4 linked regions of the Callithrix jacchus genome follow. The protein of the gene in region 1 interacts with the protein of each later gene in a biochemical or structural test. Links are inferred from orthologs where the notes say so. Each region holds a gene or a part of one and is shown on either strand. Other genes may lie near its edges.

Region 1 (7,297 bases):
GTGCTTTGGGAGGCTGAGGCAGGTGGATCACCCAAGGTCAGTAGTTCAAGACCAGCCTGGTCAACATGGTGAAACCCCGTCTCTACTAAAAATACAAAAATTAGCCAGGCATGGTGGCAGGTATCTGTAATCCCAGCTACTTGGCAGGCTGAGGCAGGAAAATCACTTGAACCCAGGAGGCAGAGGTTACAGTGAGCCGAGATTGTGCCACTGCACTCCAGCCTGGAAGACAGGGCAAGACCCTGTCTCAAAAAATAAATTAGGGGTGACGATCCAAGATGGCCGATTGCTAACATCCCGGGATTGCACCTCTCAGTGAAGGCGCTGAGAACTAGAGGACGCCACACTTTCAGACAAATTCTGGTCGTTCACCGAGCGACTGATCCCCAGTGGAGGAAACACACGGGTCGCCAGCGCAACTCTCGTGGCCGGCACAGCGGTTCCGGCCGGCACCTTGGCTCGGCAGCTCTCAGAGCAGAGTAAACAGGTTTGGAGGACCCGCACAGGTCCCCAGCACAACACCAGAGCCCGGTGTAGAGGCTGTGATGGCACCTCGGCGTGGCAGCGCTCGGCGCAGAGTAAACGGTTCCCCTTCTGACCGAGGTTTGGAGCCCCGGGAAGGCAGAGTCACCTACTACGGACACAAGAAGGAAGCCCGACAGGAGAATCCTGGGAAGAAAAGCACCATCAGTTTTAACGACGCTGCTCTGGCCCTGGGAACTAACAACCTGGACGTCCACTCAAGAGACCTAATCTGAAAGTTGGTAAATTCAAAGACGACAGGAGGATAAATTTACAATGACGGGAAGAAACCAGCGTAAAAAAGCTGAGAATACTCAAAGTCAGAATGCCTCTCCCTCTAAAGATGATCACAGTTCCACATCAACAATGGAACAAGGCTTGATGGAGAACGAGCACATCCCAATGATGACAGAAGTACTCATCAAGGAATGGATAATAACAAACTTCGGTGAGTTAAAAGAACATGTTGTAGCCCAATGTAAAGAAACTAGGAACTTTGAAAAAAGGTTTGATGAAATCCTATTGAGAATAGACAACTTAGAGAGGAGTATGAATGAATTAATGGAACTGAAGAATACAATACAGGAACTCCGAGAAGTATGCACAGGTTTAAACACTCGAATTGTTCAGGCAGAAGAAGGGATATCAGAGGTCAAAGTCCAACTTAATGAAATAAAATGTGAAGAAAAGATTAGAGAAAAAAGGATAAAAAGGAATGAACAAAGTCTCCAAGAAATGTGGGACTATGTGAAAAGACCAAATTTACGTTTGATAGGTGTACCTGAATGCGACGGAGAGAATGAATCCAAGCTGGAAAATACCCTTCAGGATATTATTCAGGAAAATTTTCCTAAACTAGCAAAGCAGGTCAATATTCAACCCCAGGTAATACAGAGAACACCACAAAGATATTCCTCAAGAAGAGCAACCCCAAGGCACATAATCATTAGATTCACCAGGGTTGAAACGAAGGAGAAATTACTAAGGGCAGCCAGAGAGAAAGGTCAGGTTACCCACAAAGGCAAGCCTGTCAGACTTACAGCAGATCTCTCAGCAGAAACTCTACAAGCCAGAAGAGAGTGGGGGCCAATATTCAACATCCTCAAAGAACAGAACCTTCAGCCCAGAATTTCATATCCAGCCAAACTAAACTTCACAACTGAAGGAAAAATAAAATCTTTTATGAACAAGCAAGAACTCAGAGATTTTATTACCACCAGGCCTGCTTTACAAGAGCTTCTGAAAGAAGCATTACACATAGAAAGAAACAACCAGTATTAGCCTTTCTCAAAATATACCAAAAAGTAAAGAGCACCAACATAAAGAAGAATTTACACCAACGAATGGATCAAACAGCGAGTTAACATCAAATGGCAGTAACCCTAAATTTAAATTGACTAAATCCCCCAATCAAAAGACACAGCCAAAACCCAACGGCATGTTACATCCAGACCCGTTTCACATGCAAGGATACACAAAGACCCAAAACAAAGGGATGGAGAAAGATTTACCAACCAAATGGAGAGCAAAAATAAATAATAAATAAATAAAAAGCAGGCATTGCAGATCTTGTATCGGATAAAATAGATTTTAAAGCAACAAAGATACAGTGGTAAAAGGATCAATGCAACAACAAAAGCTAACGATCCTAACACCCAGATACATAAAGACTTAGACTCAGTGAGACAGAAAATTAATAAGGATATCAAGGACTCGAACTCAGATCCAGAACAAGTAAACTTAATAAATATTTATAGAGCTCCCCACTTCAAATCCACAAAATATACATTCTTGTCCATACCACATCACACCTACTCATAAGTTTAAATGAAACATTGATTGGCCATTATTAATACCCATTTTTTTTAGAATAAAGCAACATTTCCATTCTCTCTCCCTCTTTTTCTTCCTCTTTCTTCCTCTCCTTCACTCCTTTTTTTTCTTTCCTTCTCTCAAAAAAAAAAAAGAAAAAAAGAAATCAACTTGTAGACCTCCAGATCCAGGTTGGCAATGTCTTTCTCATTGCCTGATTTCCTTCCTTCCCTTCTCTCCCTCCCTCCCTCACTCCCTTTCTTCCTCCCTCCCTCCCTTCCTGCCTTCCTCCCTTCCTACAAAATAAAAAAAAAAAAAAGAAAGTAAAGGTACAGGAAATGTAAATATCAGAGCAGGCACAAAGCTTAAAGCTTAATTGAAACAAGTCTGAAGGGATTATAGATGACAGTCTACCAAACTATTCAAAGTCTGTTTTTAAAAAGGGAGTTAAAACTAGCTTTCCCCAAAAGAGAGACTGTTGTTCATTGCTAATGTATAGGAGTACTACAGCATGGGACTGTTTTTGATACTACTGCTGTGGAACTAGTTTAAAGAAGACATGTCTGTAAATTTTAAGGTTGGAATGAGGCACTCTTTTTTTTTTTCTTTTCTTTTAAGGCAGAGTCTCACTCTGTCACCAGGCTGGAGTGCAGTGGCACAATCTTGGCTCACTGCAACCCCTGCCTTCCAGGTTTAAGCAATTCTCCTGCCTCAGCCTCCTAAGTAGCTGGGACTACAGGTGCACACCACCATGCTAGCTAATTTTTTTATGTTTTTAGTAGAGATGGGGTTTCGCCATGTTAGCCAAACTGGTCTCAAACTCCTGACCTCAGGTGATTGGCCTGCCTCAGCCTCCCAAAGTGCTAGGATTATAGGTGTGAGCCACTGTGCCTAGCCAAGCACTCTTAACTAAGGGAAAAGGAGAAAAGCTCACCTAGAGATAGAAGATAGCCAAATGCCCCAAATTCCATCAAACTCAAAACTTATTTTTGAGGCGGAATTAGTGGCTATCGATTGAAATAACAGAACTGTGAATTAACAACAATGACATAAACCTGTGGCCTTGAAAAAACATCTGCGACTTACTGTTGTTTACTTTTGTGAATAATTCTTCAGGGAGTTAAATTAAATCTTGCTTGCTTGCTTACTTGTTCATCGCCTTTTGAGAATGTGTTCCTTTACAAATCCTTGAAGCCTAAAATATGTTATTGTATGTAAAATACTGGTTAGGGAAATTGATTTTTCTTTTACCTCATATTGTGAACTGAAAAGCTCGATACTTTTTTTTAAAGACACACAGTTTGACATGTACTTTGTCTTACAGGCAGTGAGGTCACTCAAGGAGACAATCGAAGACTGTTGGGACCAGGATGCAGAGGCTCGGCTTACTGCACAGTGTGCTGAGGAAAGGATGGCTGAACTTATGATGATTTGGGAAAGAAACAAATCTGTGAGCCCAACAGTCAATCCAATGTCTACTGCTATGCAGAATGAACGGTAAGACCCTAAGGGGTGTGGCATCTATCAATCAGTATTAGAAACTGAGACCTAACAAAGAATAGAAAACAAATACTGTTAAACCAGCCTAATGGTTCAATGATTACCTCGTACAATCTAAAGTTATCATTTGTCTTTCAGTATTCCTATTTACTGAACATTTTTGTTTGGTATAAGTACAAAATGAAATCTGCATTTTTTTTTATATGTAAAAATATAGTGAAAGAACTTAGTATTTCTCTATGGTCTAACTTTCCTGCAATAATAAAGGTAAAACATTTTAATAACTAAAAGTTCATAAGCACTTCTATATAAATTGTCTCATTTATCCTTTGTTGTTATTATTCCTTCCTCCTCTGCTTTTTTCCTTAAGTCAATAGAACTGTGAACTTGCCTATCTAACGACTGTCACTGATGCTACCGTTTCTAGACTTTCTATCTAATACTCTTTCTTATAGAATACACTACTACTACATGAAAGCAATTCAAAGGTCTTTCTATTCCATCATGAATATTATTTTATAAGACATTTCCTTTATTAGAACTATGATTTTTGGTTTTAAATAAAGAGACTTTAAAAAAAATCACTACAATTTGGAACTTTCTACGTCTGTATTTCTTTGTTCCATGTTTGGGAGAAAAGAAAGCCTTTCTATGACTTTGTCATTTTGTCTAATACATGTTTAAAACTTTCAGAAAGGCATCCAGGAAAGCGGTACTGGCGAAAATTGAAATAAAAATACACTTGATTCTTGAAACTTTTTTGGGGGGAGGGGGAACTGAGTCTCACTCTGTCACTCAGGCTGGAGTGCAGTGGCGCAATCCTGGCTCACTGCAATCTCCCCCTCCTGGGTTCAAGAGATTCTCTTGCCTCAGCTTCCCCAGTTGCTAGGATTACAAGCATGAGCCACCTAATTACAGGCCCAACTAATTTTGTATATTTAGTAGAGATGGGATTTCACCATGTTAGCCAGGCTGATCGTGAACTCCTGACCTCTGGTGATCCACCTGCCTTGGCCTCTTAAAGTGCTGGCGTGAGCCACCGTGCCTGGCTGTGAGCCACTGTGCCTGGCCTATTTTCTGTTGTTCTAATTTGTGAAAGCTATTTATATTAGCCATAGGTAAAAAATGTGGTTTGTACTACTTTTGTATAGGTTAAATTAGTTTCAGATATAAACTTATACCTTATATATCAGCAAGTCAGGAAAGGTAGACACTGGCAATTGTAATCATAAGTTTTCTCACTTTCAACATACCTGAGGACAGTCTTCTGCTTTCATCTCCCCTCATCTCTGTATTTCCCATGTCCTCTAGTATGGTGTTTATACTTTTCTCAAAAGTCAGCTAAAGCTTTTACTTCGAATGCTTTCAAACTTTTCTTTAATGGTAAGAAAAGAAACCCTTGATGCCCCACCTTGATTTGGCCATTTTTTTGCCTCCCATGTCATTCAGCTTGACCTTCTCCATGCATCTTCTCATCTCCGGTCTCTACTAATGATTTCCCATAGTTACTCTAACTCTACGTTTTATTTTACTGAATCTTACCCTCCATGTCTCCTTAGCTTCCTTTTCTTGTACTGTTTAACAACTCTTTCTTCTTTTCCTCCTGTCATCTCCCTTATAAATAACTGTCACTCCCAAGGAATGACAATGACAGTGAAAAACCCATGATAATTAGAGAGCAGTTCTGAATCTTTGGTTCTTTATTTGAACATCACATTCTTCCTTATACCTTGGGCTCAAGGACTTTTGCTCAAATGGCTCAGACTACTCCAGAAAGATATGTGCCATTGCTAGGGCATGCCTCTTAATGGAGGCCTTTGGAACAACCTAAAAGCTTATATTCTTTTTACCATTTGGCCATTGGAAGATAATTGACAACATACCTTTTGAGTAGGTACTATGCATCTAGAATTATGGAAGTAAAAAAGAAACATATGCCATGATTCTTCCTTTCATAAAACATAATGTCTGGTTGTATGAATATACAGTTCATAAATAGATATTTTGTGATGTTATAAAACTATAGGAGAGATTTTTTAATTAACTCTTATAAACCAAAATAATGGACATTTATAAAAATCATATCTGATTCACATAAATTTTTCAGTAGGCTTTATTCATCTAAAACTAACACTTAAGTTATTAATTGATACTTGATTATTTGATTAGACTTTTTAACTAACCTTTAGAAAAATATATGTTTGGAAGAAAATGAAAAACAGCTCAGACTTTAAAATCAGAGGTGTTAAACTTGGAGAGACAGTTTGTCATAAATGTCTGTTCTCAATGTGACACTTTTTTTCTTTCTTTAAGCAACCTGTCACATAATAGGCGTGTGCCAAAAATTGGTCCTTATCCAGATTATTCTTCCTCCTCATACATTGAAGACTCTATCCATCACACTGACAGCATTGTGAAGAATATTTCCTCTGAGCATTCTATGTCCAGCACACCTTTGACTATAGGGGAAAAGAACCGAAATTCAATTAACTATGAACGACAGCAAGCACAAGCTCGAATCCCCAGCCCTGAAACAAGTGTCACCAGCCTCTCCACCAACACAACAACCACAAACACCACAGGCCTCACTCCAAGTACTGGCATGACCACTATATCTGAGATGCCATACCCAGATGAAACAAATCTGCATGCCACAAATGTTGCACAATCAATTGGGCCAACCCCTGTCTGCTTACAGCTGACAGAAGAAGACTTGGAGACCAACAAACTAGACCCAAAAGAAGTTGATAAGAACCTCAAGGAAAGCTCTGACGAGAATCTGATGGAGCATTCTCTTAAACAGTTCAGTGGGCCAGACCCACTGAGCAGTACTAGTTCTAGCTTGCTTTACCCACTCATAAAACTTGCAGTAGAAGCAACTGGACAGCAGGACTTCACACAGGCTGCAAATGGCCAAGCATGTTTAATTCCTGATGTTCTGCCTACTCAGATCTATCCTCTCCCCAAGCAACAGAACCTTCCCAAGAGACCTACTAGTTTGCCTTTAAACACCAAAAATTCAACAAAGGAGCCCCGGTTAAAATTTGGCAGCAAGCACAAATCAAACTTGAAACAAGTAGAAACTGGAGTTGCAAAGATGAATACAATCAATGCAGCAGAACCTCATGTGGTGACAGTCACCATGAATGGTGTGGCAGGTAGAAACCACAGTGTTAATTCCCATGCTGCTACAACCCAATATGCCAATGGGACAGTACCGTCTGGCCAAACAACCAACATAGTGACACATAGGGCCCAAGAAATGCTGCAGAATCAGTTTATCAGTGAGGATACCCGGCTGAATATTAATTCCAGTCCTGATGAGCATGAGCCTTTACTGAGACGAGAGCAACAAGCTGGCCGTGATGAAGGTGTTCTGGATCGTCTTGTGGACAGGAGGGAACGGCAACTAGAAGGTGGCCGAACTAATTCCAATAACAACAACAGCAATCCATGTTCAGAA
Region 2 (8,050 bases), on another chromosome or scaffold:
AGATATTAAAAAACATTTGGCCACTGAGTGAGCACTGGCAACAGTGGCCAGACCATGCCCTGGATGTGCCAAGCAGCCCAGTCACATTTGTGACTGATGAGCCTCAGCCCGGCCTGGCCTGAACACTCCTGGGCTCCCAGTGACTCACTGCTCTTTAGCTAGGGAGGACCTGCTAAACTGCAGCGGGGCACTTGGGAAGATCCTGGGCTTTGGGGTTCCACAGAGCTGGGTTGGAATTATGCCATTGATCAATGCTACTTCATGTGCCTGCGTTTTGGTCTCTGTGTCTCTAAATTGGAAGCCATGCCCCTCTACCTGGGTTGTGGGAAATAATGTGCAGTGATGGATGTGGAGCATGGCCTGCTCCTTCCCTCCACTCCGCAGGGTTTTGGAATGAGCCCGCCCTCCTCCACCTCTCTAATCTCCATCAGTCTCTGCAGTCACCTGCCCACCTGTGCTCCTCTGGCTCACTGCTGCTCAGTTTTCTGCTGACTCTGAAATATTTTTCCCCTTGTCTGCTTTTTGTCACCTCCTTCCACCCCAACAACCCTCCCAGGCTTTCCTGTTGTGCTCAAACCCCCATTTCCTTAGGGTTCCCTGGCAGTTGAATTGGTGGTGTGTGCTTTGGGTGGGGGATGGGGTGGGACAACAGGCTCCCTTTCCCCCTCCAGGCTGGCATGCAGATAGAATCAGTCCTTGTTGTGCCCAGGGGGATGCAGGACCTCTCGTGAGGAGCCCCTTTCACCTGCCTCCCCAGCCCCACAGGCAGGTACTACCTGCACCCACACTCTGCCACACTCATGCCCTCATAGTGGTACTTGAGGGTGGGCACCCCCATGTCATCCTTGTAGAGGACAGAGATGGGGCTCAGTTTGGTGGGCACACAGCAGGCCTTGCCCACCTTTGTGGGGAACTTGAGATGCACCAGGGTCTGCACAATCGCATGTTTCGTCGGCGTCACGTCATCGGCCAAGGGAAAGAAGCAGCCACCCTTACACTCGTAGGCTTCGTACTCCTTGGGCGCGATGATCCAGCTGTCCCAGCCAATGTCCTCAAAGTTCACCAGCAGAGAGGTCTTCTGACAGTGGCTGCCCGCCCCGGCACTCCTTTTCCGTCTGGCTAAAGTTGGTCCTGCAGCCACGTGGCTGTCCTCGCGGCTGCTCTCACCTGCCTCTGTGGAGCCATCCTTGGACAGCTTCTTGAGCACGCTCTCTTGCTCATGGCCGATCATCTCCCTGAGCTCCAGCCTGGCCTCCTTAGCCCCGCTGCTGTGGTCATTGGAGAAGACGACAAAGAAGGGCAGGTTTCCAGAACCTGGAGGAACACTGATGTCCAGCTTGTCACAGCCCTTCCTGTGACTCTCCACAGTCACTTCCAGCTTATTTTTGCTCTTAGTGGAGTCAGCCCGGACCCAGCGCTTCACGGCGCTGGACACTTCCAAGGTCTCCCAGCCCTCATCCCGAATGTCCTGGGACACCAGCAAGTTCTTGGTCCCGGCAGCACTATCCCAGGCATCTGTTCCATCCAGAACATCGTAAATGACCATGCTTCCTTTCACGTCGTGAGAGGCATCCACGTGATTTTGACAGGAGACATAGAGTCGGAGCTCGGCCCTGGTGATCTGCTCGTGCCTGGGAATGGAGATGTTGAAGAGCAAGATGTGCTTCTGGAAGGGGAAATCCTCCGTGGCAGTTACCGAGATGGCATCTGAAATGCAAACATACCTGGTGGGCATCTGCTGGCGGCTCTGTTTCTGTGACCTGAAGCTAAGTCTCAGGGTTTAGACAGAAGAACATCTGGGCTAACAGTTTTGGTCTCTAATCTCTATTTGGTTTCACCCAAGCCCTTAAGATAGAAGGGTATTTTGAAAGGCACATTTAAGATCTTCCAAAGAAAAGCAAAGGCAGGAGATGCCTCCAACTGAGACTGACAACTCCTACTGTTTCCCGAGCATCTACTATGTGACAGGCATTACACGGGAAGCTTGGCAGAATACATCTCACATTAATCCTCACACTCACCCTGGGAGGATCTAACTATTATTCCACGTTTACAGATGTGGAGACTGGGACTCAAGGCTACCAAAATGCACACAGCTAGTTAAGTATCCTGGCACTTAGTAGCACACAGATAGTTGAGTACATAAAGAAAGCAGCAAAACTCACTGTCAGGTCCTGAGTAAAGATTCTGAGTGTATGAATTTAAAGGAGAGATCCTGGGTGGGGACAGGAAAGCTCAATATTAAGACAATGTTAAAAATCTCAGCATTAGCTGGGCATGGTGGCGCGCACCTGTAGTCCCAGCTGCTCAGGAGGCTGAGGCAGGAGAATTGCCTGAATCCAGGAGGCGGAGGTGGGCCAACATCGTGCCATTGCACTCCAGCCTGGGTAACAAGAGCGAAACTCCATCTCAAAAAAAAAAAAAAACAAAAAACAAAAAACTCAGCATTTGCAGTGTCTAAGTTGTCTGGAATTGTAATTTCCAAACAAAGTGAAGGTGGACGGTCGTTTTCAGGGCTTGAGGGAAAAAACCTATTGGCTTAAATTGCTTTGTCATGTCAATCAAAAATGGGGCTTGCCTTTTAGCCACATAGTTGTCTCAATTTCCCATTGATCCTGGGCTGACACTTTGTCATTAGCATGCTCCTGCTATACCGTGGCTGGCTCACAGGCAGGGGAAAGTTTGCATTTTTTGAGCACTGGCTGTGCCCACATGTGTGGAGACCCTGTGCTGTAGGGAAATCCAGCCGGCAGGTTTTGACGTTCCAGTCCTGCCTCTGCAGACCGGTTAGATCTGGCCTGGCTGTGGTATGGAGCTGGGGCCCTTAGCCATTTGCAAGTCTCAGACCCAGGAGGGGAGAGGCCCTGTGCTCCTGGACATTCAAAGGGAGAAAGCAGCAGCAAAAGCCAGCTGTGCAGGCAGACAGGCCTAGGTCAGAATCCAGTGGCTTAACACTTCTTAGGAGACTTGGGTAGATACCCTGGGTGGCTGCAAGCTTTGACTGAACAGTTTCGCTGTTCAGAAACTCATTTCACCTGCATCATGTGAGCTTGACTGAGTTAGGACATAGGTTCTAGGTCCATGTTTGTTATCTTCCAGTCCTTCTAAGTCAGACATGTTTCTACTTAAAAACGATTAGGTTCTCTTCCAACATTTCTCTGTTAAAGAATTTTATCTGATTTTTAAAACTCTTTCACAAGAAAGGAATAGATGTGCTTTCAAAGTTTAAAAATATACAAGTTAGTTGGGGAAGAAATAGGTTGTCTGATCTGTTTTGAAGTAGGAAGAGGACAGGAAGTGAAGGGGGAAGGGAAGAGAAGTGAATCAGAGCAGGGAGATGGAAAGAAGAGGAGAGCAAAGGGAAGCGGGGGAAAAAAGGGGAGCTGGCATCCCTGTGCACCTGCTGTGTGAAACATGACACACAGCCCAGAGAAGGTGAATCCTTCAGAGCAGAGCGGCCGAGTAGCACTCTCAGTGACAATGAAAATGTCCTGCAATCTGCTCTGCCTGATAGCAAAGCCATTAGCCACACATTTGAAAGGAAGCTGGTGAGGCCAAAGAACTACATTTTAATTTTAGTTCATTGTAACTAATGTAAATGAGTTTGAAGAGCCTCCTATGGCCAGCAGCCTCCACGATGGTCAGGGCAGCTGTGGACCTGTGAGCCCCACCCCAGTGCGCCTGATGCAAGCAGAGACGTTACCTTCCATGCTGAAGCTCCGCACGATGTTGGACGCTGGCGTGGTTGACTTATCGGACATGTACCTGTTGTACAGGTCGATCATGTACTGCGGAGGCTCCACTCTGGTTTTGTCCTGCGAAGGGACCCCGCTCAGGTTAAGGCTGCGTAAGAAATCCACCTTCATGTTCTCCAGAAACAGCTTCAGGTTGAAGGTGTGCTCTGGCAGCTCACCTCCAGGCACCCGCAGTGGGCTGTGGGCATTTCCCCCAGCAGACCCTTGTCCCCAGCTCTGCAGTGGCTTCCCCTGTAGGGAGCCGGCCAGCAGGGACAGCAGGGGCAGGGCCACCCACAGTGCCCCAGGACACATCTTGGGCCCACGCAATTACCCAGAGAGGAGATTGCAGGCAGCCGTGCCGTGTTAGCAGGCTCGGGGAGGAGCTGGGAAGGAGCAGGCGGGCATCTCCCTGCTGTTTGCTCTGAAGGAACCGTCCTGGCCAGTGCCCACTCTTGCCTGCCGCCAGGCTGGATTGTCCTCTACTTGTGCTAATTTGGTCCTCGATGCCTCACTCCACCCTCTTATCTGAGGGAGCCCTTCGTTAATGAAGGCTCTATAAACATCTGACAAATACACAGGGCATGTGGGAAGGACATGGCCTACTGTAAAGAATCTGCGCTTCTCCTGGGGGTTATTGCCCCCTAATTAGGATCCTTTCTCATTTCCTTGCCAGGGCTGTTCAGAAGAATCTCCAGGCAGGGTGACATATACTCTATCTCCTGGGCCACAGGAGTGAAGAATCCAGGAAACAAGACCAGTAAGTCCTCTAAATAAAGAAAGGGCAGTGCAAGATCACAGTGAACCGTGGAGGCTGGGGAGATGGGGGTAGGGTGGGGACCGCATCAGAGCTCAGAAGAGGCCTGCTCCTTGTAGAGTCAGAACCTGTCAGCAAGCCTCCCTGCTCTGTTGGTGGGATACATTGCTGAGCATTAGAGATCACGGGTGAATATGGCTCCCGTGCAAATTAGTGTGGTGATGAGTCCAACTGGACAGAGGCTGGGATCTCAGCTCACCAATTGCCCACCAAGTGACACCTGGAGAAAGTCACTACAGCTCTCGGAGCCTCCCATTCAGAAGACAGCTGTAGATGGTTAAGAGGATGCTGTGCCCCAGGCTGGCTTGGTGGCTGTATTCTGGCTGCCGCATCTCTAGCCCAGGGCTGACTGAGCTGGAGATGGGGGAGGAAGCCCCAGATTCCCCTGGCCTGCTCTGGGGGAGCTCCACAACACACTGCAGCCTGTGGGGAGCTCCTCACATCCCCACATCCCAGCCCTGTCGCTGGTCTGTTGTGACGTGTCTTAGCTAACATTGACCTGGCAGACACCTGGGCCACACTCATCAGCAGGGAGAACCACGCAATCTGATACACAGGGGAGTAGGTGGGTTGTTCAGAGACTGGTACATGCCAAGAAGATGATCCCCTGGCCTATGGAGGCCGACAAGCTGCGGTCCAGGCAAGGGACCCAAGGACTGCGTTAAGAGCAATGTGTCCACACTTGGACTCTGTTTCCATCACGTGGGGCTTTGAGCAAAGCAAAGAAGGAGCATGGTCAGAAATACTCCGGGGTATGGTGTGCCTGGTGGTTTACTCTGGGAAGATGCTCCACATGGTGAGGCTCTGGGGGAGAGGTTGCAGAGAGCTGAGCAGGTTCAGGGGGTGCAGGAGGGGCCACGGCATGCTGTGGTCAGAGATTGCAAAGGGGGATGAGTGAAAGCAGGAACCCCTGAATGGCCAGACCTGGATGGAACTTGCTATCTCTGTCATTTAACAACGTGGGCAGGGGAAGAGAAGGTTGTTGTTTCAGAAACGCTGCTTGGGAAGATGACTGGAAGTGTGCTGGGCTTTGCTCCAGCCCAGTGCAAGAATTCCATGGGGAAAAGAAAAGATGAACAAATGGGTGCCATGCCCAAGAAATGGAGCTGCAAATGCGAAGGAGGGTGTGGTCTGGGAGGAGTGAGAATAGGGCAGATGCCTGCAACGTGCTCCGGCCAGGAGCCTTTCACAACCGAAAGGCTGAGCAGAGGGATAGCCTAGTGGCCTGGATGTGCACAGGGAGGAGCAAGGGGCTGCTACCTGATGTTATTTTTTAACTGTGACTTTTTTTCCCCTGGTTATAACAGTAGTCTGTAGCATAGAAAACTTGAGAAATGGAAAACATTATTTTTTTTGAGACAGTGTTTTGCTCTTGTTGCCCAGGCTGGAGTGCAATGGTGTGATCTCGGCTCACTGAAACCTCCATCTCCCAAGTTCAAGTGATTCTCCTGCCTCAGCCTCCCAAGTAGCTGGGATTACAGGCCTGCACCACCACTCCCAGCTATTTTTTTTTTTTTTGTATTTTTAATAGAGATGGGGTTTCACCATGTTGGCCAGGCTGGTCTCGAACTCCTGACCTCAGGTAATCCTCCTGCCTCAGCCTCCCAAAGTGCTGGGATTATATAAAGGCGTGAGCCACCATGCCCAGCCGGAAAACATTATTAAAGAGAAAATAAAAATAGCTTACAATTTAATCATCCAGTGATGTGCACAGCTGCATTTTGAGACACCTCCAGCTCCACAATCCTATATCTGAAACCCTTCTGGCCAGGAGTGTGTTGAGACTCTGATAGCTTCAGATTTGGGTGATTTTGTATTGTGTATATGCAATAACATCTCCAAAGGGGTCAGAGAAAACACCTCATAATGACACACATGAATATTTCTGCAGTGAAACCATTAAAGACACAAATGTCATTCAGGTCAAATTTTCCCAGAACATGAATTAAAAGAAACTGTAGGTTCTCTGATAGTTTTGTATTTAGGGGATCTCAGATGAAAATGAATTAAAAGAAACTTTAGGTTCTCTGATGGTTTTATATTTGGGGGGGTCTCAGATGAAGGACTATGGACCTGACTGTATCCAGCGTCATCACAGCTGCCTGTGGTGCTGGTCACAGTCTGACATGGGTGGCTTTCCCTGGAGCTGTACAATGCAACATGCCACTGTATATCTGAAACAATCTGATCTGCCTCACGAAAAGCAAGGTATCAATATGTTCACATCTCTTTTATTGTTTTTAATGGATTGCTTGAGTTTTCCTGATCCATATTAGCAGGAAGTCCAGTCTTCTCCTTTCCCGAATTGTCCAAGTGCCCCACAGGGCAATAAGGCCAAAGGAGATGGGGTGTGAAGGTGTGAGTCCAGCTTCTTCCTACTGGGAAGTGGGAGGGAGAGAGGGGTCCCTCCTGCTGTTGCTTCTCAACACCACTAGCTTTGCTGTTGGGCACCAGTCCTACATATGTAAACAACTGTTGTTCACGGCTGTTGGGATGCCCTCTAGCCCAGGTCTCTGGGGTGGCCCCCATGTGGCAACAAGGTAACAGTGTTCACAGACATGTGCCAGGCTTACCCATCTCCAGCATGCATGCCTCGGTAGCCAGTGGCTGAGTGGAGAGAAGAGCCCAGCTATGATCACACTCCAATTCCCACCTGCCCTTTCTCAAATCCCTAGGTTCTTACGAGAGACCTAGGTCACCAGTGGACTCTCACTTTCATCAAGTGGTGATTTCAGGCACCTGGTTACATTTTCATACAAATGGGCCTTGGTCCATCTGAGAAAATCCCCCTAACTCTGGGTCTTAGGGAACAAGTCCTGGTCTTGTGCTGCCTTTCTGAGGAGGAGACAGACCCTGGACGTTCCCTCCTGCAGGAGGACCCCTCCCTCTGCCATCACCAGTTTGCATTGTTGGGGCCTCAGGAAGGAGCTGCTGCCTTACTTGAACAACAGAAGGTCTTACTTACCCTCCTTTCCCCCTCCTCCTCCAAACTGTGTGCTTTCTAATTGTTCACTGATTTGCCAGAGAAGTTCATCCGCATGATTATTCAAAGCCTAAAGATCTGAATTATGGTAGTGTTCTGTGTCTATGCCTAAATAAAGCAAAAGCTGGCATAAAATTTAAGAAAATCTACACCAAAGTGCCTTCAATCTCTGCCTTAGGTTTACTTTGGAAGCCACTTGAGGTATACAAGGTTTGATGCTATATAGGCTTGTTTCTCTTTTAAAATATTTTCTAATTAAAAAAATTAAAATGCTGTCATTTAGATTCCTTTGTCACACGTTGCAGAAAAGCTGAATCCAAAGAGGCTTAAGCAAAGTGGATTGTGCCTGACTAATGAAACCTCAGTTGGCAGCGATTTGGCTTTAGCATGGCTTGAGCTATAGAACAGGCACAGTTTTAGCCATACTTTCTTCTCTCTCAGTCCTGCCTTCCACCTTGCAGGCTTCACACTCCATCTCTGTGTGTCTTGGCAAGGTGACTGGTCACTGCAGCTGGA
Region 3 (7,766 bases), on another chromosome or scaffold:
AGGCAGGGGCTGGGCGAAGATAGAGGGCGACAGGGTCCGGAATCCGAGAAGGTGGTCTGGGAACTAAACGAGTGGCTTGAGGGCTTATTTTATTGCGGCGATCAGGTTGAAATGCTCCAGCCAAAAGCGCCTGATCGTGGTCGCTCACCCGCAGAGAAGGGAAGAGAGACGGTTCCGGAGACCTCGGTGAGTTTTGACAAGAGGCTGGGAACGTGCCACGGAGACACTGGGTGCTCCCCGGGGCAAGTAGGGTAGGAGAAGGGAGGGGTTAGCCCTCTTGGTATAACCCCGGGCTTTCATCTCTTCAGCCCCCTCTCACTCCCCTTTCTTGCAATCCAGAGAGGGCGAGTGTGCACCAGCAGCACTTTAAAAGGAACTGGTACGCTTCGAGCGCCTTGGCTACCGGGCTAAGAAGGGAGCGACAGTGCTGCCAGGGAGCGGAGTGTGGACATTGCAAGGGAGGTCCGACGGGAGGGACAGCCGGCGAGCAGGGGTGGTGAGGGCAGAGTTAATTCCCGGGAGGGGGAAGGAAGAGGTGTCTACTCACTGACAGAAAACAAGGCATATAATAACAGTCCATGATTCTTGACAGCCAATCTTGAACAAACTTGCTGGAAAGGCTCAGGGAAGCTGCAGCAGTGCGTTGCTCGGGATGGCACTACGGAATGGCTCCTAAAAGGAATATTTGAATATAATGAGACTCCGGCGCAGACAGGCTCTGTTTTTCTTCCAACCCCTCGGAGTCACGTGAGCGCTGAGGCCCCTCCTGCAGAGGGCGGTGAAAGGGCCCGCGCGCCCTCCCCTCCTTCACAGTCCCCGGCCCCTCGCGGGTCCGCCCCCTCCAGGCGAGGCCAACCTTCGCGCCCGCCGCCTGAGCCTCAGCGGTCCGGGAGGAGCTCCCGGCGGCGCTCCGCAGAGCCCTCCGCCGGTGCCCGGCCGCCGGCGAGCTTCCCGGGCTATGGGCGCAGCGCGCTGAGAACCTGGTTCTCCGCACTGTACGTTGGGCTGGGCCCCGGGCCAGGCAGCCTGAAGCCGGAGGATGTGGGGCTCACTGAAGGGGCTGCGTCTTGCAGCTCTATCCCCGCCTAAGTGGGGCTGGGAGCGGGGTCGGGAGAGCCTCACCCCCGCCCCCCAAAGCCTCACCGCCGAGAGGCACTTAAAAAGGAAAGCGCCGAGGGACCCTGCACACGCGCGTGTACACACGCGCGCGTGCGCGAGCGCGCTCCCCGCCGCTTCCTCCCTAGGGTCTCCGCGAGGCCAAATACTGCTCCCAATGACAGCCAGTGACCCCAGCCAGTCACGCCTGCTAAGGCTCGGACGAGCCGGGCCACCGATCTAGCTCCCGGCTGAAAGCTGCCAACCCTGTCACGCATGGGGCCAGGAATGGGGTGCAGGGAGGTGTTAGAGGGTGATCGCTGTGCGAAAGTGAGGGGGAACGGTTACTAGTATGCTCCGGGACCATTACGGAGAATCCCCGCACCGAATCGGCCGCTGCACGGCCCGTCTCCCCCGGCAAAGCAGACCCGCGAAGAAGCCATTCCAGGCGGAGGGACAGACGCCACCCGGACTCGCAGCTCCGGGAAGATTCAGAAAGGCGTCGCTGCAGAAAGGACGCATCACAGTTTTCAGATCTTAAAGTCGCCGAGGTTTTACAATTCCCGACCCCGCGCAGAAAGGAAATCCCACCTTGTTCCCGGGAGTCGAGAAAACTGGGAACAGCTTTGGGCCTGAGCTCGACCTCTGCGTCTGCGTCTCTCTCGCCTCGGCTTGGCTTATTTTTTAAACAACCACACTCCTTCCCCCGCCACTTCCTTCCCCCACCTCCTTCCTCCGTTGCACCAGCAGCAGAGTCGCAGCAAATACTCCAAGAATTTTACCTACCCACAACTCAAGCAATTACTGGGATGCCCTGCCTAATCGAAGATACAGCCGCGCGCGTGGGTAGCTCAACTCAAGGGCCTCTCGGAAAACCCGACCCGGCGCAACTGAGCGTTCAGCAGGGGCCGGCGCGCCAGGTCGCCCCCGGGTCCCGAGCCCCACGACTCCTGCCCCAAAGCCCACTCTACCCGGCCTCCCTTTCCTGAGGCTGCTCCCAGTTGCTGCTTTGGGTCGCTTCGGAGCTCGAGGGTTCGGGTTGCCTGCCGCCCCACTCTCCATGCACACACTTAGTTTTTTTCTTGGGGGCACTTGTAGGTAGACTTTGAGGAAGAAGAGTAAAGGATCGAGCAGCTCAGTTCTCCCTCCCGGCCGTGGTTGCCCGGCGCGGACTGACACCTCCGGTCCGGGTGCGGAGGCGGCGGGCGCCCCTGCGCGACAGTCCGCGCCCAGCAAGAGCGTACGGCTTTCGCCTGTTCTGATCCCGCGCCACCGCTGGGGCGGACTGCGAAAGGATTGGGAATAGCAAAGGGTTTGTTTTGTTTTGTTTTGAGACGCAGAAGCCCTTTAAAAAGCCCAGCGAGGGGAGCTCCAGAAGTAGAGAAAGCAGAAGGAGGCAACCTGGTGCCCGCGGAGCAAAGCGACCGTGGAAGGGGCGGGCACCCGGAATCCCCGGACAACCCTCGGCCCTGAGGAATCTCCTAGGGCGGGAGCTCGCGGTTCTACAACTGAGAGAATAGGGAGAAGAGGGATTTGTCTTTTAATTTAGGATTCACCAGGATTCATCTCTCATCACATTTTTCTTCTCAAATTTTTAAATTCAAAAGATAAAAGCCAAAAGAACTTTCATCCCCAGCACCCTTTCCTAGGGGAAAGGTGTGGAACTCAGGGTGATTGTCCTTCACTTCCCTTCCCGAATCTTTTCCTAACGCCGAAAACTGTTTAGAGGTGTTTACCAAGTATGTATTTTTGGGGGTGTAACGTCTCACAAAGCCTTCAACTCATAAACTGCGATCCTTGCAAACCATCCTCCAAAGCAGTGCCTAGGAGGCGTCTGAGGCCCCGGGACCAACTCCCGCTGGCAGAAGTCTGCAGGGACCCGGGGAATCACGGGATCCTTTTCCGTCGGATCCGGACCGGGAGGGTCAGGAAGGGCCGCGAGTCTGCCTTTGGTCCCGCCAGGAACTCCCCATAGGACACGACACCACAGGAACGTGTCCTGGGAGCCCCTGGCATCCTGGATGTCGTCCCTACGGACCCTACACCGTGAAATGATAGAGGAGAGGCTCCTTGGGTTCCGCAAGTCAACGAAAATAGCTTGTGGAGAAGGCGCGTCCCTCAAATGCAGTTCGCAAGCTCTCGGGGCGCCCCGCCAGCTGGGGGCCAGGTTGGGTGACACTCCCCTCGACAAAGCCTCTGGAGCGGCGCGCACTCTCCAGAGGCCAGCAGGACTGCGCTCCCTACCCCAGAAACACCTCCAGCTAGGTGCTCGCTCCCCTTGTCGACGTCGTTCTGCCCCCTCACTCTTTCCGGACCTCAGAGCCGGCTCTTGCCTTCCTCCTCCCACCCTTTCCGTCCGAGGATCGCAACCTCCAGCCCACCGGCAACGCGTTCAGCCCAAGACCCCACAGTTTTTGTTTCCAACGTTCACCTACCAAGGGCTTCTCCAGTTTCTGCCCTCCTGCCCCGCACCTCCCAAAGGTGGGAATCTCCCAGGGACTGCTGGACAGAGAAGGCCTGGGCAGGGGCAGTAGCCAAAATTTAAATGTCTTTCAGCGCCAGCATCCCTACCTCCTGCACCACTATTAGAAAATAATTAGGCCACCTTTTGCCTCGGTCATAGCCTGAGCCCCCAGCTTCTTCCCTCCAAGGAGGCTCCTAGACCTCTGCCTGACTCCCCTCACCAGGTCGCCTTGCTCACCATAGGTCCCTGCAGTAGCGGGCTCGCCAGCAGCAGCTCCTGGGGACCTCTGAAGTGTTGCAGAGAACCTGGGCGAGGGTCGGGGACTGGGGCGCTGCAGGCTCGAGACAGCTTGGACGAGAATCCCATCGGGGAGACAGGCGAGATACTCAGCCCGAGCAGCAGCGGCTTCTCAGGCTCGCGTCCCTCGGCTCGGATGCCACACTCACCTAGCTTCCGGGCCGGACTCCGCGCTCCTTCCCTCCCTCCCTCCTCCTCTGCCTTCTCGCATCTTCCTTCCTCCTCTTTCCCTCCCTTGCTTTCTTTCTTTCCTTCCTCCTCCTCTTCCCCGGCGGCCCCTCCCTTCTTCCCTCCTCCCTCGCTCGCCTCCCTTTCTGGGGATGGGAGCCCCGCCCACATCCTCCCCTCCAGCCGCCCGGCCTCGCCTAGCAGGCCCGGGTCCCGGAAACCCCGGCAGCGCCCGAGTCCGCAGCTGCCGTCAGGGCTGGGACGCCGCTGCCTCCAGCTCTGGGAGGCGGCCGGGGCTCACCTGGGGACCACGTGCGAAGGTACTAGAAAGCATGCACCGACTAGTCGCCGTACCTTCCAAAAATACCCATGGGAGTCTGGGCTTCCCTGAGTTTAGTGTAACTGCTGCCCAAACTGATGATTAAAACACTGAGTAATCACCATTTACTCCGAGTAATTAGAGATAATGAAACACCTCTAAAATCAGGTTATGGAGAAAGGAGCTGTTGGATCGGTTTAAAAGGTGGCCTTCCATAAACTGTTAAAGGATTTCCAAACGTTGGGAAACAGGCTGTGTGCAGAACTGTGTGCCAGAGATAGATACCTCTTCACCTCTTCGGCTTTTAAAAGGTGAATTTCCTTCCAAAACATTCTTAAAGTGCATTTTGTGGAAAGCCTTGGTGATGACCCTCAGGTAGACCCCAGTAAAGGAGCTCACTTCCCTCCTCCCCCAGGCCTAAAGAGGTGGCCTGCAGACAGTCTGGGGCCACGTTTTTACAGTTAGAAAAATCTGGTTCTAGCCCAGAAGCCCTCTTAAGAACCTGCACTGCAGTTATTTTTGTTGGTGGTGTTATGGTTGTTGTTGATTTTTTTGTTGTTGTTCATTTTTGGTGTACCTCAGAATCCTGACACTCTGACTTTCCAGGGAAATCACCGCAGAAGCAATAACCTTTTAGGCCACAGAGAGACAAGAAAAGATGCCCTTTGGTCTGTTTTTAAAGGAAAAGGGGGAATGGGGAATTGACCCTTTCATATAAAAACATTTTAGTAATCATATTAGCAGGGAGGTGGGATGTGGTGGCTTTTAAACCTTCCCAAACAGTAACTAATTTCACACACTGCCTCTGATGGAGCTGTGAGGGAGCTATCAGGCTCATCTCTGTTTTACAAACAAGGAAGGGAAGAACAACCAGGTTAAAGGGACTTGCCCAGATCCCTGAAGTAAATCACAGCCTCTGCTCCAGAGCTAATGCTTTAGGGCAGGGTTGAGGCTCACCGCCTGAGCTCCAGGTAGCCAGGGGAGTGCTGGAGAACTGAGCATTTCCTGTCCTGGATTTCTTTCCCTGGGACAGACATGACACTACTGTCTCCACAAAGCATTTAGGTCTTTACTAAATTTACTAGGTCTCTGAGTGGCGTATCTATAAAAACTTTACATTTATACACCTTCAATATTGAAAAAACAAGAACTACTTCCAGTGTGGAACACAGATTACAAAGGGTGGGTAATACCTGAGATCAGAGAAGCGACTGTAAGACCAAGGCCAAGAAGTCCTGCCATCTTGTCCAGGCCTAGTGTGGTCTCCTGGCCTTACAATGCACCAAACAACGGAAACAAGCTGCTTGGCTTTGGGCAAGTCCTTTCATTCTTATGAGTCTCCATTTTCTCATCTGCAGAATGAAAGGATTGGGCCAGATCATCTCCATGCTCCCTTTATATGTGAACATGATTTGATTATTTAATTGTAATTTTAGCCAACATCCATCTTGTTTTATTTTAAATCATTCTTGAGTCCACCTCCTCTAAGAACCTCTGATTAAAATAGGGCAGGCAATAACATCACCCCAAAAGAATGACAAAATATCTCTCCAGCTTCCAAATACTCAAAATGACAATTAATTATTAAAAATAACTACAGAAAATTAAAACTCCATTAAATAGTTACCTAATGAACCTCCTGCAGCATCAGGCAGCGTGCTCCTTTAGCACAGTACCTGAAGTAAAGACAGATTAAATGCTCATTGAGCCCCTCAATCAACCACTATTGTTTTAATCATTTAAAAAGTGTTTCTTAATATTTAAACTCAGAAACAACAGCGATATGTTGTATTTAAAGGCAAGACTTCATTTTATTTTAAAGCACCAATGTCATTTTGGGGCTTTTTTAATCCCAAAGGTATTTGAATGACAGCTATTGTCTCATTTTGCTGCAGCCCAGACAATAAAGTGGCCACTGATTGGCCCATCCATGAGTCTGTGACACTCACAGTCCGGGAGTTTCCAATTAAGCTACCTGACATATTTTGTTTAGACCCTGATATGAATCTTCAGATATGTGATAAGAGAACTCAGCTTTAGTTCTCTTGGGACAGCTTGCTTTCTTTCTCCACATTTTAGATGGGTGCAAGCCATCTGTTATCAACTGCTTTTACCCACGCCTCCTTCTCCCCCCTTACTCATGCCAAAAAACAAATTACTTGTGGGTTAGAGAGCTAAATCAACCACAGCCTAGTGATCAGAGTTGGTGAGAAGAATCAGTTCAGTCCTTTTCCCTAGCTCAAGCTTACCTGTGAATTTTCACATTTTTATAGAGTGTCGTCGATAGACCAAATGAAACTGTACCCTTAAAGCATATTGATGAAGAGGAGAAACCCACCATAATGCAGGAGCAACTATTGCTCCTATGGTGCTACTGCTGAATGGAGGGCATTTGTTTGCTGGGCTTTTCCTGGAGAGCATTAAGAAAGAGTAGCTGGTCAATAGCCTGTCCGCGAGCCCTTGGGACAGCCTTTTTCAAAGTATGTTATCAGGACAATAAGCCTCAGAGTAGGGTGAAAGTGTAGATACAGTGCAGATTGCCTCGCCCTGTCCTAAATCTGGAACCAGAAATCTGTATATTTCACAAGGTTCTCTGGTCATTCTAAGCACACTAAAGCTTGAGAGCTACTGTTTTAAAAGTTTTTTTGCTTACATTTTCTATGCTAAGTACCATTAAAAGGCTGATACCAAGGCATCATTAAATAGGCATGGACTATGCTTGGCTTGAGCTTTATAAACTGTTAAATATGGCAATTATAGTATCACTATGCCCTGAACACACCAAGTAGGTCTATGCAAGTGAAAAGATAATCCTATAGATATAGTAGTCCCTAATTCCCCATCCCCAGTTAAGAACCGTATCAGGTCTTCAAACCTTCTTTGCCAATTAGGTATCCGGTGAATCTATGGAGGGAATTTCCAGAATCATTGCTAAGTTTTGAGACACAATAAGATAGATCAATTGGAATTGGAATTGGACTTGACATTGGAATTGGAATCAATCTCTGAAATCGGCCGGAAACATTAGTTTTCCTCTTATTAATATTTATCATATGTTATATATTTGCCCTCTATGTCTCTGGCCCACACAACAACCATTATCAAATCCCTGTCTTACAGATAAGAATCTGAAGTTTAGAGAGGTTATGTAAGTGTCCAAGGTCACAAAGCTAAAAAGTGGTGGACCCCAAATCCAAACTAGGTCAGTCTGTCTCCTCTCCCTGGGCCTGCAGATGGGGGAGCAAGTGAGGGGTGGTGTTGTGGATGGATCCCCGGAGCTTATCCTGGAAGCTTTCCCCAGGCCAAGGCACCAGCTGCTGCTCCATCCTGGCAGCATGCTATTACCAAGAATTTCAGGATATTTTCCCAGGTTCTTAGACAGCAAAACAAAATCAAGACCCAGAAAACTGTTTCTTCTTGACA
Region 4 (8,075 bases), on another chromosome or scaffold:
AGTAACACAGTTGAATAATGTGTAGCCTGCTTAGTTTTGATCAAGCCACTTAAAGAGCAATGATGAGACTATGCAGACATTACTGATAAAAATCCTCACACAATCGAATGTTTTACTTGTTAACTAACTTAAACGATGATCTTCCTTTGAAGTTATAACAGAGACACAGCATCTTCCTGGCCTTAAAAATAAAGTTAAGAACTTCCATGCTAAATTTCCACAAGAGGTGTCTAAAACAGCTGTTCTGACTATATTTCTATACTCAAACAACAAACAAACAAAACTATTCTAATCAGCATTTACTGGGAATGATTAGCTGGATCTATAATAATTTCAGGGCTAAGAGGGCAGAATACACACCCCCCACACACACACAAATTTTACACATGACAACAGATGACTTCTGCTTTCACTGGATGAATTCTGAAAGAGCGGAGTGAGTTCTTACCGCCTTTCAAATCTGATTTCTAGCTAGCAGAAATGTGCTTGAAAATGAACTGATGATCAATTCAGTATCCCCGCCATGATGTAGAGCTGCCTCAATGATAATGTATCTTCTGCTATGTGGCCTGCCTTTGGGACTTATTTCCATTACCAACAAATGTTCTCACAAGCATAAGTCATTCTTCACACTGGGAGAAAACATCTGGCTGTGCCATTTCTGATTAGTCTATTATCGGTGTAGATTTCCCACCTGAAACTTACCACCTAAGCAGGGAAAGGCAAGAAAGAGAGCTTCACTCCCAACTCCCCAAATATCCTTCATTGCTCTGTGATGTACAACTTTGTACTCTTTTCTGGGATTTGAAGAAACCCATGCTCTATTTTAAATGTATTAAGCCAAAGAAGCATCTAAAAGTGTAGAAAAAGAATTGGAGTGGAACATATTTTTGACTAATTGCTCTAAGAACTTAGGTACAGAGGCTCTCAATAGCCGCTGTAAGACATTCCCACTCGACAAAATGCCCTTCTGATGAAACAAGCAGATATATCCCACCTTAGAAAAACCACATGTAGTATCATAAAAGAAAAAAAAAATCCACATTTCAGTGCACATTAAAAAAAAAACAGGCAGCTGCTACAAATGCTTTTATCTGAAGGCTTGCCTTGTCTCTACTCAGGGCCTATCTCAGATTTAAGCACAGGACAAGAAAGCCATTGTGGAAACAATAAGATTGATTGTAGAATTGATCTCCCACGGGGATTAGATCGGGATTCAAAATCTTCCAAACCAGGCCCAGATCAACTATAAATTAGAAAGACTTTGGGCTTTGATTTTTCAATACTATCTCTGCAAACTCTGTCCTTGGCTCTGTCTAGCCTGAAACCCTGGCTTAAGCAGCAGATTTATAGAGCAAAAGCTTCCAAACAGACTTAAAGAAATGTCAATCTGCCTCCCTTTTTCTCCTTTTCTCTCTGTGGAATTCTTGCACGTTTAGCTGACTAGGGGCATGCCTTTTGCCCTCATCTTCCCCATCACTTGATTTCTCTCCAGTTCCTGGGAGGAGGAACTCTTCTGGCCGCAAGCCAGGGAAGAGGGTGGCGGAGTTACTCAAGGGGAATCCCTGGCTCCCCCACCACACAAGCGATGAGTTACAATGAGTTAAAATCAGGTTCAGAAACGATGGTACAGAAGCCAGAGTGGAAACGTTCCCCGGTGCCCTGGCCAAGCTGCCTCTGCAGGGATGGCTGCAGTCTGCCCTGGGTGGAGGGCTTCGCAGGGTAACTCCCCGCCCCCACGCCCTGCTCCGCGCCTCACCTTCATGGTGGAAGCTTCGCACAGTGTTGGCTCGGCTGGCTGCCCTCTCCAGCCGGTGGTCTGGGGCGGGTGCGCCCGGCTGACCCGAGTGCCTGCGATACAGCTCTAGCATGTAGGGGGGCACCACGGCGTCCCTGCTGGGGGTGGGTCTCTGCTTCAGGCCGAACATGCTGAGCAGCCGCAATTCGAACTCGCTCAGGACCTCGTCGGAGGGCTGGGACGAGGGGCGGCCCGACGACGACGCCGCGAACTTCCTGCGGCCCAGCTCCGGAACGAGGCCGGCCGCGCCGCCCAGGAGGACCTGGGGAAGCAGCAACGCTAGAAGACAGCGGGTCCCGGCCACCATGGTCGACCTGCAGACAGGACCGACGTGAGTCACCCCGAGTTCCCCGCCCAGTCCTCCCCCCTCGCGCCCCCGCGGCCCCGGCTCCCGTTTGGCAAACTTGACTCCTCCAGGGTGCCCTCCTGGCTTGGCACACTCGCGAGTGTACGTAAGACCGACCAAGGCTCAAATGTTTGGGATAATGAAAGGTCCCAAGTTCCAGGACCAGATGAGTTCTCGCTCCCATCCAACTCTTAACTCGTCTGACATCAGATCTGGGGTTTGCCCTCCCCTCCCAACCAAACCAGCTGCAATGATGGTCACCTTTTTGTTGTGACACAGCGCTGACAGTCAGTGCAGGGAACCTGGGAGAACCACCGCTTGGTCTGACACCCTGCGTCCCCTATACAAACCCAAATGCATAGTGCTCAGCGCTCTCTGGCATATAAACACATGCAAATGGTGCATGTGATTTCCTTAGAGGCGCTGTATAGAACTTCCTCATACACACACACACACACACACACACACTCACACACACACACACACACACAGCCTATAACTTCCAGACCCTGTAAGCTCAAGGCCACAACTTCCAAAGCCACTTAAAACTTGTGGCCCAGGTCCCTACCCTCAGGGGTGTCTGGAGAGGCCACTCAATCCCGCATCCCCATAGTACAGGTAAGACACACATGTATCTTCCTGGGATTACGTAAATGGCGAATATCTATTAATGCACGTGTCAGCTGTTAAAAACACAGTACCAAGCGATCCTTCAGTACCGACTGCTCGCATTTCTGGAAACGAGTAGGGAGAATCCCAACTCCTAGTACTTTCCTAAATGGGACATGGCTCTGTGTAAAGAAACCAAGTCTCTCAGCCACACTTGAAGAAGGGAGATCACCACGGCAGGGTGGACAGGTTCTCAGCTAACGGGTGAAAGCCAGGGGCTACCCTCTCAAAGGGATTTCCTTGACCCTTGACTCTTAAAAAAAATTCATTTAAGTGTTAACAGCTTCACAAGTATTCGGGGGAGAGGGGAAAGAAGAGGGGTGGAAGAGTGCGGGCTGGGAGGGTGAGGCTGATGGTCTCCCGGGGCAGCTTGAAGGGGGCACCCCCACAGGGCTCCGGTGCACGTGGACCTGGAGAGGGGTCTGTTTACTTCTGGCCTGGACATAAGGAAGGGCTCTGCCGCAGTGACTGCCCAGATCCCCCTCCCACCCACCCCCACCCCGGCCCCTGGCTAGCGTCCTCTACCTTTAGGAGACCGCAGTCCGTCTAAGAAGCACGCGGGGACACGTCCATTGAAAGAGCGTCCACATGGAAAAACTCTGGTCGAAGGAGCTGGCGCAAGGACCGAATGTCCGTTCCTTTTCTTTGCCTCCTCCTTCTCCCGGATGCCGGCCGCGCAGTCTCTCTTTTCACGCTGGGAACAGCGTCCCAGGGTCCGGCAAGGCGGAGGAGTGGAGGGGCGGTGGGGCTCGGAGGTGGCGGTGGCGAGGCAGGATCCGCTGGGGCAAAGGCACCGGCGCAAAGTGGGGAGCGCAAGTTATTCTCCCTGCAAGTTCAAGAACTCCCCAGCCAAGTGCTGACACACAACAACAGCGAGCAGGGGGAGGAGTGCGGGGCAGGGAAGGGAAGGAAAGCTAGAAAGGAGAAGCTGGTGCAGTCGTCCTCCTTAGGAACCAGCGCCCGTGGGACGCGTGGCCCCGCGCGGGCCGGCTCCGGGACTCCGGGGGCGAGGGTCGGGCGCTCCGCGCTAGCTCCGCTGCGGCCCATGGCTCGGAGCAGCCATCCTGGGCGACGCCGGGTCCGGGGAAGGGCACGGCGGCGATCTCGGTGCCAGGCGAGTTGCCCCCCAGCATCACTCTGCCTTACTCCAATGCACCCCCATTCGCGCTCGCCAGTCGAAAGCACCGAGGCTCAGGCGCCCCGTCGTCCTCGGGCTCATTCTTCGGCGAGTCTAGCCGAGTCCCGGGCCGCCGAGGTGGGTGACTGTGCTCTCCCCTCGTTCTCCCAGCCCTGGGGGCCAAGAGCCCTTTGTGGCTAGCCTGGGGTCCGATCACACCTCGGCCGGCGCGTCCCAGGCCCCCGATCTCCGGCAGGAGGTGCTCCGCATCGCGGCGCTCGGGTTCGGCTCCAGAGTCCCCGGCGCCCTGAGCGCCCGTCCGCGGCTCTGGCGCAGCCCGGGCAGCCGAGGCCACGGCGCTGTGGCGCGCTCGGCCGGGTGCTCAAGCCCGCGCGGGGTCTGCGACTCGCGGGTGCCTCGCGCCCCCCGGGTGATCTGCGCGGCGCTGGCCCCGAGAGCGTTAGGGTCGCTGGCGGACGCTGTGGCGGTCGACGTGCAGCGGCGGCTGCCAGTCCCCAGCGGGGTGTGGGAAGCGGAGCGACTAGCGCAGTGCGAGCCGGGCGCAGCGCGGCAGGGCGAGGACTCCGGCGGCGACGGCGGCGGCGGCGCTGTGGCGCGGCGCTCGCGGCTTTTAAAGGGGACGCCGCCAGCAGGCTCCCTCCCGGCCTCCGCCGAACACCTCCCCCTCGGCGGCGCGGGCCGGGGATCCCCGAGCGGGCGGGAGCTGCGCGCAGGGGTGTGGACGGCGCGCCCGGGCAGCCGCGGCGGGGTGGGGCAGAGGGCGGGGGCGTGCGGCCGCCTAGGCGGGCGCTCGCGCCTCCACCCCCTGCCCTCAAAGGAGAGATCAGCTGGCGCGCCGGACCCTCGGGGGACTCTGAAGGCGAAATCCAGGACAAACGCAGGGTCAGGGTCTGGCCTCTATTTCCCCTCTGGGCCCGTTATTCAACTTTCAGTTTGAAGTTTTTCGGTAATACACGATTTCAAAAAGTAAAACAGGACACCTCAATTGCAGCGCATTTTGGCATAGCATAGACGTGGGATCCACACTTCTGTTTCCCTGGAACAGGAGGAAAATTAAAAGAAACAGGAGGCTGGAAATTGAGTACTTTTAAACATTAATACATAGAGATGTATGTATTTACATATGTAAATGCATGTGTACAAATTTCCATTTACATAAATATGTGTATGCATTTATTTTCATATCCATGTACATGTAAATGTATGTTTATATAAATATATCCTTGTATCTTTGCGCCTCAGAGGCAGGCGATTAGCAGCTCAGAGGAAGGTAAAACAATGCATAGCGTGAACCAAGCATACAGGACAATTCCAGTCTGGGACCTTAGGACCTTCTACTCCACTCTCTTCCACCAGGCCCCCAAGAAGTAGAGCTGTGACACGTGGCCAAATCACTCCTCAGCTGAATATTCACTCAACTCACTCCTCAGCTGAAATATTCTCAGAGCTGCTGCACCGTGAGTCTGGGGCTAAGGGTTTCTACCCTTCCCAGGATTCCAGGAGCCCCCTTGCACAGCACCTCGGGGTTGCCCAAATGATCCCCAAAACCAAGGGCAGAAATTTTTGGTAAAGGCCAGGTTCTGCTTTCCCAGAGCTATTGGGCTTGCAAAACACAGAGAAAAAAGTCAGAATCGGGAGCTGGTAATAAAACTATTATCCATGTGTATTATTTTTTCGGTGGGGGAACTAAAATAATTCTAGGTTCCGCTCACGTAAATCGGATTAGCAACCCACAGAGGCGAATTAGGCACTTGCTGTTTCTAAAGGTATAAAGGTCAAATAAGGTATTTTGGAGGAAGCCTGCCTACCAGGAAAATAAAAGAGAGGTGGGGGGAGTTATTCAGGAACATGCTACTTTATTTCTTGCGCCCGGGGGGGGATTGGGGGGGACGGGGAAGGTGCTATAGAAATTGACTGTCACTCTAAGTCACTGGACAGCAAACAAGTAGCCAATAAAACATATTCTACATATAGACACAGTTTAAAAAGTATTTATTGGGCTTCTGAAACTACTTTTTTTCCTATCAAGTTTAATTGAGAAGTTAACTGTTGTTTCTGTCATTACTTAGATTTCAAAAACCAAACCAAACCTCTATGAGACTTCAATCAATAGGTAGCTTTTAAAGAGGAGGAAAAGTTGATAACTATTGAATGTCCCCGGAGAAAAAGTAAAAAATAAATGTCCTGTGATGACATCAAGGATGTCTTGCAGCTTTAGAACTTCGTAACTTGGTAAGTGGAAACCTTGTCAGTTTAGAATCTAAGGGAAAATGGGTAATTCCGAGCACTGTTTCATGGTGGTGTTGCCCATTGCAGAACCTCTTTTATGTAGGGTGTGTGACTTCTGAGGAACTACTGAATGCCTGTCCCAAGCACAACTTACCTAAATTTTGGCCCTATTTCTCTCAAAACCAAGGCTTCATTTTTTTTTTTTTTTTTTTTAAGAGATGGCTGCCCTCTTGTGGTGAAAATGAATTCGAACGCTTGAAAGAAAGAAGTTCATAAATAAATAAATAATCTCCAAAGATTGTATTTGGGATGCGAAGTACAGGCTGACTGTATCTACCCATTTTCCAGGGAAGAGCGATAGGCAGAAATGATAAATCTAACTAGAGACGAACTATTTTTTTTTTCTCTTCACTAATGGCTACCTTCCACCTGCAATTTAGATTGCTGGGTTATTTAATACGTTGGGAGAGTGTCTGTTTGCCATGAAAATATCACTTGCTGCTAACCGTTGTTGATTCTACCTTTTTCAAAGGTTCATTCAAAGTTTTTCAGTTGAGAGGGTGACATTCATTCTTCCTGAGTTATCAGATTTGGTGTATCTGCCAGCAAATGTGGAGAGGGGCCAAGGTGGGAGTGGGGAGTTGTTAAGAAAGGGATAGAGGTTGCAAACTCAAATGCCTCAGAGGGTACAGACAAGTTATGTATAAAAGCAAAGATGACCAGATAATGATTCCACACTAAGGAGGTCGTTACTATTCCGTTTCAGTCACTTCTTGCCAGTTTCTCAAGAAACGGTGCGAATTTGCATTTGATTGTGTGTGGACAGAACTCGGGATGAAATGAAGGGTTTACAGTCACACTTTGGCAACTTTTACTTTAGCACTTCCGCTCACATGATATTCCATTGGACTGCATTCTGTAGCCATGGCGTTCAGCATTGTTCTTGCCAGGCCAACCATTATGCAAATCAGTATTAAAATAGTCTTCTAAAGTGCGCAGCAGGCGTTGCATGATCCATCTACCTTGTAATTGTCATTCCATGGAAACCTGTGATAACTGCCCTGAGAAATACGCTTTGCTTTTTAGCATACATATCGCTTTGTTACAAGTTTGACACCGGAAACCAGCCGTTCTTACTTACCTGGATGAAGTTTTTGTTGTTATTGTTTTGTTTTGTTTGTTTGTTTTGGGACTGAGTCTCACTCTTTCGCCTAGGCTGGAGTGCAGTGGCACAATCTCAGCTCACTGCAACCTCCGCCTCCCAAGTTCAAGTGATTCTCCTGTCTCCATCTTCTGAGTAGCTGGGATTACAGGTGTGCACCACCACACTTGACTAATTTTTGCATTTTGAGTAGAGAAGGTGTTTCGCCACATTGATCAGGCTGGCCTTGAACTGCTGACCTTGTAATCTGCCTGCCTTGGCCTCCCGAAGTGCTGAAATTACAGGCATGAACCACTGTGCTGGTGAATGAAGTTTTTATCACAAGAACTTGGAGCCAAGGCAAAAGAAAAGCATTTAGTCAATCAAATGTTTTCCTTTTGGGTGTTTGATTAGACATAGTAGAGAGGGTGGGAGAAGTGAAGTGATTTATCTAGAAAATTAGACCAAGTTGGCCAACTCAGGATCACTGCTTTCAGCAAGTACCAATTACATCTTCTTAAAGATTAAGAAGAACGAATTTTGTGAATTGATTAGACTGTCACACAGTTTAAGATGTACACATTAATTTATGTCTGTAATTGATCATAGTTCAAGACTTCGGAGTTGGGTGACCTTGGTTCTAATTCCTGGTTCTGCCATGGATGACTGACGTTAAAACCGTCATCTCGTCTGTTATTTGGGGTAAATATATGTTCACTTGCTTCAGACTGACATGATGAAGATCAAATGGACA

What was found.
Region 2: the proteins of BMPR2 (region 1) and GDF2 form a complex in vitro, tested with the Homo sapiens proteins (2 studies listed by BioGRID). The link is inferred for Callithrix jacchus from reciprocal best matches to the Homo sapiens genes BMPR2 and GDF2.
Region 3: the proteins of BMPR2 (region 1) and BMP4 form a complex in vitro, tested with the Homo sapiens proteins (2 studies listed by BioGRID). The link is inferred for Callithrix jacchus from reciprocal best matches to the Homo sapiens genes BMPR2 and BMP4.
Region 4: the proteins of BMPR2 (region 1) and BMP2 form a complex in vitro, tested with the Homo sapiens proteins (4 studies listed by BioGRID and IntAct, with this or other methods). The link is inferred for Callithrix jacchus from reciprocal best matches to the Homo sapiens genes BMPR2 and BMP2.

The regions. Positions count from the first base shown.
Region 1 is NC_133507.1:123,697,426-123,704,722, forward strand, and holds part of BMPR2 (bone morphogenetic protein receptor type-2), read left to right. Parts: intron 1-3,658; coding exon 3,659-3,831; intron 3,832-6,147; coding exon 6,148-7,297. UniProt on the Homo sapiens protein: On ligand binding, forms a receptor complex consisting of two type II and two type I transmembrane serine/threonine kinases.
Region 2 is NC_133513.1:41,180,134-41,188,183, reverse strand, and holds the start of GDF2 (growth/differentiation factor 2), read right to left. Parts: upstream 4,265-8,050; 5' UTR 4,050-4,264; coding exon 3,704-4,049; intron 1,708-3,703; coding exon 773-1,707; 3' UTR 1-772. UniProt on the Homo sapiens protein: Potent circulating inhibitor of angiogenesis. Signals through the type I activin receptor ACVRL1 but not other Alks. Signaling through SMAD1 in endothelial cells requires TGF-beta coreceptor endoglin/ENG.
Region 3 is NC_133509.1:88,523,287-88,531,052, forward strand, and holds the start of BMP4 (bone morphogenetic protein 4), read right to left. Parts: upstream 4,073-7,766; 5' UTR 4,068-4,072; coding exon 4,006-4,067; exon of another isoform or gene 3,797-4,005; intron 673-3,796; coding exon 548-672; intron 1-547.
Region 4 is NC_133506.1:14,043,271-14,051,345, reverse strand, and holds the start of BMP2 (bone morphogenetic protein 2), read right to left. Parts: upstream 4,538-8,075; 5' UTR 3,339-4,537; intron 2,113-3,338; 5' UTR 2,106-2,112; coding exon 1,760-2,105; intron 1-1,759. UniProt on the Homo sapiens protein: Growth factor of the TGF-beta superfamily that plays essential roles in many developmental processes, including cardiogenesis, neurogenesis, and osteogenesis. Induces cartilage and bone formation.